Linked DNA regions of Oryzias latipes. The protein of the gene in region 1 purifies or fractionates together with the protein of each later gene. This does not show direct contact. Links are inferred from orthologs where the notes say so. Each region holds a gene or a part of one and is shown in the gene's direction. Other genes may lie near its edges.

What was found.
Region 2: the proteins of ascc3 (region 1) and rps3 purify together in Homo sapiens (co-immunoprecipitation; 4 studies listed by BioGRID and IntAct, with this or other methods). This does not show direct contact. The link is inferred for Oryzias latipes from reciprocal best matches to the Homo sapiens genes ASCC3 and RPS3.

Annotation. Positions count from the first base shown.
Region 1 is NC_019874.2:9,654,296-9,657,944, reverse strand, and holds part of ascc3 (activating signal cointegrator 1 complex subunit 3), read left to right. Parts: intron 1-364; coding exon 365-515; intron 516-605; coding exon 606-812; intron 813-2,802; coding exon 2,803-2,978; intron 2,979-3,422; coding exon 3,423-3,546; 3' UTR 3,547-3,649. UniProt on the Homo sapiens protein: ATPase involved both in DNA repair and rescue of stalled ribosomes. 3'-5' DNA helicase involved in repair of alkylated DNA: promotes DNA unwinding to generate single-stranded substrate needed for ALKBH3, enabling ALKBH3 to process alkylated N3-methylcytosine (3mC) within double-stranded regions.
Region 2 is NC_019871.2:2,443,413-2,447,759, forward strand, and holds the start of rps3 (40S ribosomal protein S3), read left to right. Parts: upstream 1-1,419; 5' UTR 1,420-1,502; coding exon 1,503-1,532; intron 1,533-2,381; coding exon 2,382-2,512; intron 2,513-2,656; coding exon 2,657-2,750; intron 2,751-2,928; exon of another isoform or gene 2,929-3,076; intron 3,077-3,154; coding exon 3,155-3,249; intron 3,250-4,347. Other genes in the region: ras-related protein ORAB-1-like, read left to right, coding at 1-105. UniProt on the Homo sapiens protein: Component of the small ribosomal subunit. The ribosome is a large ribonucleoprotein complex responsible for the synthesis of proteins in the cell. Has endonuclease activity and plays a role in repair of damaged DNA.

The DNA of each region.
Region 1 (3,649 bases):
TTGTAAATGTAGTTTATTGTTTCCCCCCTAGCTAGGACTCCCTCGAAAAAGAGATTCTTAATCTCAATGGGACAATTCCTGGGTAAATAAAGGTTTAATTAAAAAAAATATTTTCACACCCCTAATGTTTAGATTTAGATATTAACACATTTAGGCTTTAACAACATCAAAATTAGATCTTTAAAACAAAATTCAACCTCATCTCCTTTTATAATCATTATAATTCTATAATTACACCACATAGGAAGCAAGAAAGATTAGTAAGGGTGAAGTGAGGGGCGGTATTGGAGAGGGGCTGCCAAAAAAAATAATTTTTGTTTAGTGGAAAACATTCTACAAACTCCTTTTCTAAACAATTCTATAGGAAATGGACAAAAAAGAACAGAAGAGGTGAGGAGGAGGGCTTCACTGGAACAATCCAGGGACTTCCTGAATTGATCGCTGCTTGCAATGGAAACGAAAGTGTTTTCACGGCCATGGTCAGCTCAGAGATCCACTCCAGCCAGGCTGCACAGGTGAGACTATTCACTGTTCAATACGTCTGCTTCAGTTTACAGGGCCGGTATGAACACACAGCTCTAAGAACCTCACCTTTCTCCTGACAGACATGGGCCTTCCTGAGTCACCTCCCCATGCTGGAGGTCAGAATGAGTGTGAAGGGCTGGTGGGAGGAGAACCAGGAACAGATGGAGCGCCCGGTCCACATAGTCAGCAAGAATCTGCGTGAGGATAGGAACTGGTTGGACATCCATGCTGACCAGGAATACGTCCTACAGGTGTGCCTGCATCGGATAACCGTGGGCCAGCAGAAGGTTAGTGTGCCTGGTGCCCCAGCACCTTTGACCTCCTCTGCAGTCTCAGCAGAAGCCCTGTGGACACGGTTAGCTTCTGCTCCTTCTCTGAGCGTTTGCATGGGAGCTGTTACAGCTCTCATTCAACTGTAAGATTGCGCACTAACCGGCTAACGCTGAAGCTACCTTCACACCGACCTCAGCAATGCACGTTTAAGAGACTACTTTCCAATGAAGTCAATAGAAACATGCAGATACTCGCTTCGGGCTTCGGCGTTCAAAACTCTCGCGATTGTGTGTTGCTACACAAGTTTCTACAACCGTTTTTGGGCTCCACATACCAAACATACCTGTTTGCGTGTTGGAAGTGAAACCAGTTGAACTTTAACCCATCAGGGGCTTGGATTCGGAAGTGGCGTATGGATGGCGTCTCTTTTAATTCACGGAAGTACCAACTGACTTGATCACGGAGGAGAAATTATTAATTGTGATTTCGGAGCGTGACCTTTTAATGCTGCGATCTCCCCAAACGTGACTTGGCAAGAGAGCTCCAATTTTAAGTCAATAGTACGTACGCAATCTGAGGTTGTGTGGCGTGATTTGAGCAACGGGCATGGCTGGGCGGTCTGGTAGCCGTGCGATTTGGGCAGAAAGGTTGGACTCAACATGACGTTTTCAGTGACTCGATCAGCGGGTAGAATACAAATCATGTATGGTGGATCGATCCAATAGTTCTCCTGAACTTCCAGCCATTTTCTCAACCTGCTGTTTCCCTTTTGGGGCAACAGGGTTGCTGGAGCGCACCCCCAGCTACTGTTGGGTGAAGGCGGGTACACCCTGGACGGTCTGTTGCATGGCCCATGGGACTGGACCGATTGGGTCCGCCACACCAGCCCCCCAGGAAGAAAGAAGGCAGCTGCGGCATGCAGGATGCAGCCTGCTGGGTCCCCTAATTTTATTCTTGTTTTTATTTCTCCCTTCTGGCATTAATGCGGGACAGTTAGCCTTCAAACGGGGTCACAGAGAGACGGAAACACATGGGAAGTGGCTGAGGATCAGATGCAGCTCTTGCAGCGGGAGTGATGTCATGAATCCAGACATGGAGACAGGATTACCGATGATTTTGTAGAAATCTGCAAAATGAATAAACCCGATCTCTAAACATCATCCGGGTTTTTTATTGCATTGGACATGTATGTGTGGGTTTTTAGAGAAGGTTTGGATCATGCTAATGAGATTGGAGTCTCAGAAATATGTGTAGTAGGCTGTAGATAAGAACTGGACTGATTGACCCCTCCCCTCTGGCGTTTTTCATGATTTTTCATATATATATATATATATATATATATATATATATATATATATATATATATATATATATATATATATATATATATATTTTGTCTCTAGTCATAAACTGGCAGATGCCTCGATAAGGAGAAACAAACAGACAGAGCCCCCTCTCCCTTCCTACGGTCTGAAATATTATTTTGGTTCCTCAGCAAGTGTCCTTGACCACTATATCCTGCTGTTCTTAAACCTTTCTGAGTAAACGATAGCCATACATATGATCATATATTACCTTTGGCTACCTTCACGGACAAAGTGGATGTGTGTGTTAGCCTGTGGGCGGAGCTGGTATTGCAGACTCATCCTCACTTTGTGACATCACAGTTTGAGGACCCACTCATTTTCGTGGATTGGAAGGCGCTTGTGCTAAGAGAGCAGGTTTTTAGAAGAACACTCAGAAATGCATGAATGGATCAAAAAACCGCTTTGGACTTGTCTTAGTGAGGAATGAACATTATAAGACACTGATTTTGCATATTTAGGCTCTTTAAAGCCAAATATTAACAAAAAATTCAAGGTAATGCATTTTTAAAAACTATATGACTTTTAATTAAATAGGCCTGACACATCCTGGGGAAAAGATACAAGAACATGACACGGATTGTTTCATAATGCCATAAATTTACTCATACCTCTATGTGATTTGTGTCTGTCCTTGCAGAAAAAGCAGGACGGAAAGGCTGTGGCTCCTCGCTTTCCCAAGGTGAAGGATGAGGGCTGGTTTCTAGTCCTGGGGGAGGTGGATCGCAGAGAGCTGCTGGCTGTCAAACGAGTTGGTTATGTGCGCAGTCGAACTGTTGCATCTGTGGCCTTTTACACACCAGAGAAGCCTGGAAGGTAAAGTACTGGGCAGCAACAGCAGACCCACACAAACACTGCAGGCAAATGGGAAGGGTTTTTTGTTTTTGTTTAAGAAATGCTCTTTTATAGTCACCTGTGTGCTGGACACCCCTTAAATGAATCATTAGACTCACCTGTGGTTGAATGCCTGTTAGAATTGAATTTTATAAGTCTTAAATTTGGCTTTTCTCCTAAGACTGACTGGGGTGTACTTATTTTTGCAACACGGGGTTGAATTAATTTGTCAGGAAAACCACTTTTTTGTGTTTGCAAATGGTGCATATCTTTGTGGGTGTATTTTGTAGTATAGTATTTCACAGAAAATGTATATATATATATATCTTGCATGCCGAAAAAGTGTGGTCACCCCTGCTCTAGATGCTTTAAGCGTAGGGGTAGACTTCATCATGTGACAATGCTGCATCTTCTCTCTGTTCTCAGGTACATCTACACGCTTTATGTGATGAGTGACAGCTACCTGGGCCTGGACCAACAGTACGACCTGCACCTGAATGTTACACCTGCCAGCATCGCAGCTCAGGTCAATACAGAGGTGTTGGACTGAGCAACCTCTTCGTTTCAGCACAGGGGACCACCCAAAAGGGGTGTTTTGCTGTCCTTGATTGTGTTTGTGTGATCACCTGAGTGTCCTAATCAAGCCAGTTGAT
Region 2 (4,347 bases), on another chromosome or scaffold:
ATGCAGGGGACCCATGATTCCAGAGCACAGGGCTCCAAGATCAACAGCGCCCCCGTGTGGCTAGGAGGGGATAAACCAACGCAGGATACCAGGAACTGCTGTTGAGATGTGGACAGATAAACCGAAAGGAATATTTTGATATATTTGCTCTTTAAGATAAAAAATATTAATAAATCTGCAGTGAATTCATTTTGTTACTAATATTTGATGAAAACATATATCCTACAATAATTGAGCCAAATAAAAAACTATGGGTTTTATTTTTTAAGATAATAACATAAAGATGTTGAATTAGTCATCAGTGACTCGGTCATCACCATTTTTTATCCAGGATGTATTTCCTTGCCCGAAGAATTTTTTTTTGTGTTTTACTTCTTTTGCTGTTAAAATCAATAAAATAAAGTTGAAATCTGTGATATTAAATCGTTAAAATGTGGCTGGATGGTAACTGGAGAAACCCCTCTCTATCATTAGGATCTTAAGAAAAACTGTACAAAAACTGTGGTGTTATATGTTAAAGACAGGTAATAAAGTATTGTTTTATTGGAGAAATGAACCGTGGTTAAGGTTCTCAATCTGAAATGACGTTAAATGTTTGGCTTTCATAAGATATGAGGTTAAAAGGAAGTCATAGAAGTGGAGCTTTTAGGACCAAGTTTCAGGAATTTCTCCAAACCTCCACATGTAACAACTTTTAACAACTGAAAGGAAAATTTTTCAATCTACGTGTTGTCCTTTTTCGTTAGATCAACAGCCTGAATTGTACGAAAAAAATGTAGAATAAAAAAATGATCAAAGCACTATTTTTCTTATCAATAAAATATTTTAGTTTTATTTTAACCTAAGCAAGGATCAATATTCAGGGGAAAAAATAAGTAGCACTTGTGCAAAAATGTGTTTGGTTATAAACATATAATCGTAGGTTAGTTGTTGTGCATTGTGTTGTGTGTCGTTATTGTAAAGAAGTTATAACAAAAATGTCTAGAAAACTATACAGGCTTCTCTGTTGAGGGCAGCATATACAACATATCCAACTTTATTTAGAAAGCACCTTTTTATATTAAAGTGGTGCAAAGTGCTTAAAACATTTTAAGAAAAAACAAGTAAAACTATTTTTGTTTTAATATGTAATTGATGTCCACAAAACTGATTTTAAATATCAAAAAGGAATATGCAGACTTTGCGTAGTTTTGCATTTTAAATAAATGCAGAAAAAATACAGCAAAAACAACCTTAGGTCAAATATTAATTATTTGTTAAATGTCAGCGTGTTTAAATAATTTTTCAAAAACATGGAAACAGTAAAAATATTGTTAATAAGTGCAGCTGAAAGTTATTAAATGCTGATAAAATACAGGATACACTTTAGGATTATTTATTTGTTGTCGAAACTACATTTTCCAGAAGAAGCTGGGACATTGCGTCACCGGAAAACGACAATTTCCTATAAATTCACTTCCGGTTACTGGCAGAGTCCTTTCCTGTCCACGGCCCGTTCGAAGATGGCGGTGCAAATCTCTAAGAAGAGGAAGGTTAGCGGGACTATATTTCTCTTTCATCGCTGAATATCACGAAAATAACATCATTCTATAAAGGATAAGACGTTTAATCCTCAGTCCCGGTGTTTACCCGGCCCGTTGTGGTTCCTTGCGAGGAGGATTATAGCAGATGCTGGAGCTGCGGCTTCCCTCATTTCGTTAGCTAGCATGGCTCTGTGAGCCGGGGACTGGACCGGTGAGCGGTCTGAACAGGTTCTAACCCGCACCGTAAAGTCAGGACGGCTGGTTTCCAGGCGGATAAACCAGAGTCTGCAAATAAAAAGAAGAATTTGATCTGTTTCGACAATATTTGTTATGTTAGCTTTGCTAGCATGCGAGTCAGTTAGCCACATGTACTCATACACTACAAAGATTAGGGGAATTAAATAACTATTTTTGGAGCCACAAATTCATCATCATGTTTAGGTATACATTAAAGCCAAGCAGAAATTAGGTAAAACTCATTTTTGTTAATAGTACTACTGACTCTTTAATTAGCCCATATTTTTTTACTTCAAATGCCTGATTGCTAGAATCAGATTTCATCATTTATATCAGGCTATTGATGGTAATTTAGGCTTACCTTAGTTTGTCATTTATATATTTTGCCTTTTCTTTCTCAGATTTATTGGGTTCAGGGTCACAGTTGGTAGTTTCTGTACCTTTTTATATAACATGGCAGAGGCACATTTTCTTTAAGATCTCATTTATTTGCACTGTCTACTAATATTCTGGCTTTGAATGACTTTGATAAACTGATGCTATCTTCTTCATTTCTGAGCACTTCGTGTCTGTCAAAACTCCCATGAATGAGCAGAACCTCCCTCTGGTGTCTTGAAACAGTTCGTCTCAGACGGTATTTTCAAAGCCGAGCTGAATGAGTTTCTGACTCGCGAACTGGCTGAAGATGGCTACTCCGGTGTGGAGGTGCGGGTGACTCCAACCAGGACCGAGATCATCATCCTGGCCACAAGGTGCGTGTTGGATCAATGTTTAAAACAATTTTGACTTTTACACTCCGAGCCTCTGCGTCAGGTTCAGAGGCAACTGTCTTAGCTATTAAATAAAGAACGCAGCAGTTTCTCACCCGTGATCTTAAATGTTTCCGTCTTGTTCAGGACTCAGAATGTTCTCGGAGAGAAGGGTCGTCGGATCAGAGAGCTGACCGCTGTGGTCCAGAAGAGGTTCGGTTTTCCTGAGGGCAGCGTGGAGGTGAGACAACCTACAGGATTTGCTGTTTAGATTCACTTTTGTAATCCCTAATCAGTGGGTTAGACAGTGTTATTATTATAGAAAGTCTTTAGCAGAAGTAATCGGCAGATCCTCCGGCTGAAATAACTGAGGATCGTTGTTGAAGTCACTCCTGTAGTTTGTTTTCCCACCCGATCCCCTTCAGTGATGATACGATGACGAGACAGAGCAGGACTTTATCTGGGTCTGTGAGTTCTGCTTCGGGTCTGCGTTCTGTGGACCCGCTGCCGTTCCTCAGATCAGGAAGTCCTTTAAACAGGAAGACAAGAGGCATTTGTCTGAGAAGGGTGGACGGACGGACCATCATTGAAGTCGTTTCTGTGCAAACCTGAAGATGCAGCGACGTCTTGTTCTGTTTTTTCTAGCTTTATGCTGAGAAAGTTGCCACTCGTGGGCTGTGCGCCATCGCTCAGGCTGAGTCTCTGCGCTACAAGCTGCTGGGAGGTCTGGCTGTGAGGAGGTAAGCAGTGCTGCTGATGACCTTCTCTGAAAGTACAAACCATCATAGAGCCTGTTTGAGAATGGAGGGAAAAAAGAACTGCACTAAAAAGTATATTTATAGTAAGAATAAACAAAACGCTTCCGTGAAAAAAATTAGTGCGGTTCAAATCTTGCCTGCAAACTTCATAATTGGATCTTCAAAATAAAAGACACATCTGCTTCTGCTCCAAACATCTGCTTGTGTTCTCCAAAACTCCATTTGATGGAAGTGGAGTCTTCAGGTTTACATCATCCTGTTACATCAGACAGAATTGTAAAAGCGCCCTGTAACCGCACTGCATTATGGGAGTCTGTTAGCAGTCTGAGGTGTTTCAGACTTCAGGTGTGGTGCTGTTGTGTTCTGGCTTTCTCCTCAAGCTGTCTTTGAGGTCATGAACAACCTGGAAAGTTTTGGGATTTAAAAAATGTAATTTCTAACCCTTGAAAGGTCTTTTGTAAGGTTTTGAAAAAGTCATGACATTTTAAAGATTTTGGGTTTATAAACATTTTAAAAAACACTTAAAGCTGAAATTCTAGTTGAAATTGTTTAACCTAACCTCAGAAGTTGAACCTCACATGATCGGTGAGCGACAGCTGCTGAGCGCTGCACAATCCAGTCAGAACTTTTGGAAAACTGGTCATGATGGCGTTACTATGGAAGCTTATTGCATTCCATAAAATAAAAACAGGTGAACTTTGTTCAAATCTTTTCTGTGATCTTTGTTCTAATATTTTTAAGAACTACAAAAGCAAAAAAACACCAAACAGGCTGGACTCTAACCTCGTCTGCTCGTGAAAACTATAAGAAAAGCCACAAAGTGTCTGTTTGTGCTCGTCACAATTCTGTTTTGCTCTTCCTACAAACATTACAGAGCAAAACGTTGGAAGTCTGAAGGATTGACCTGTATGAATTGGTTAGTTTGTGTCAATCCCAACAACAAAGCCCTGAATGATGCTCATGTTGTGGGTGTGGCCAACTTAACCTTTTTTTTTCTAGTTTTTGCTTTCATTTTTTCTGAAATCACTCATTTTTGGAGATAGAGATACGTCCACAACCTGCAGGTTCATTCTAAGAGAG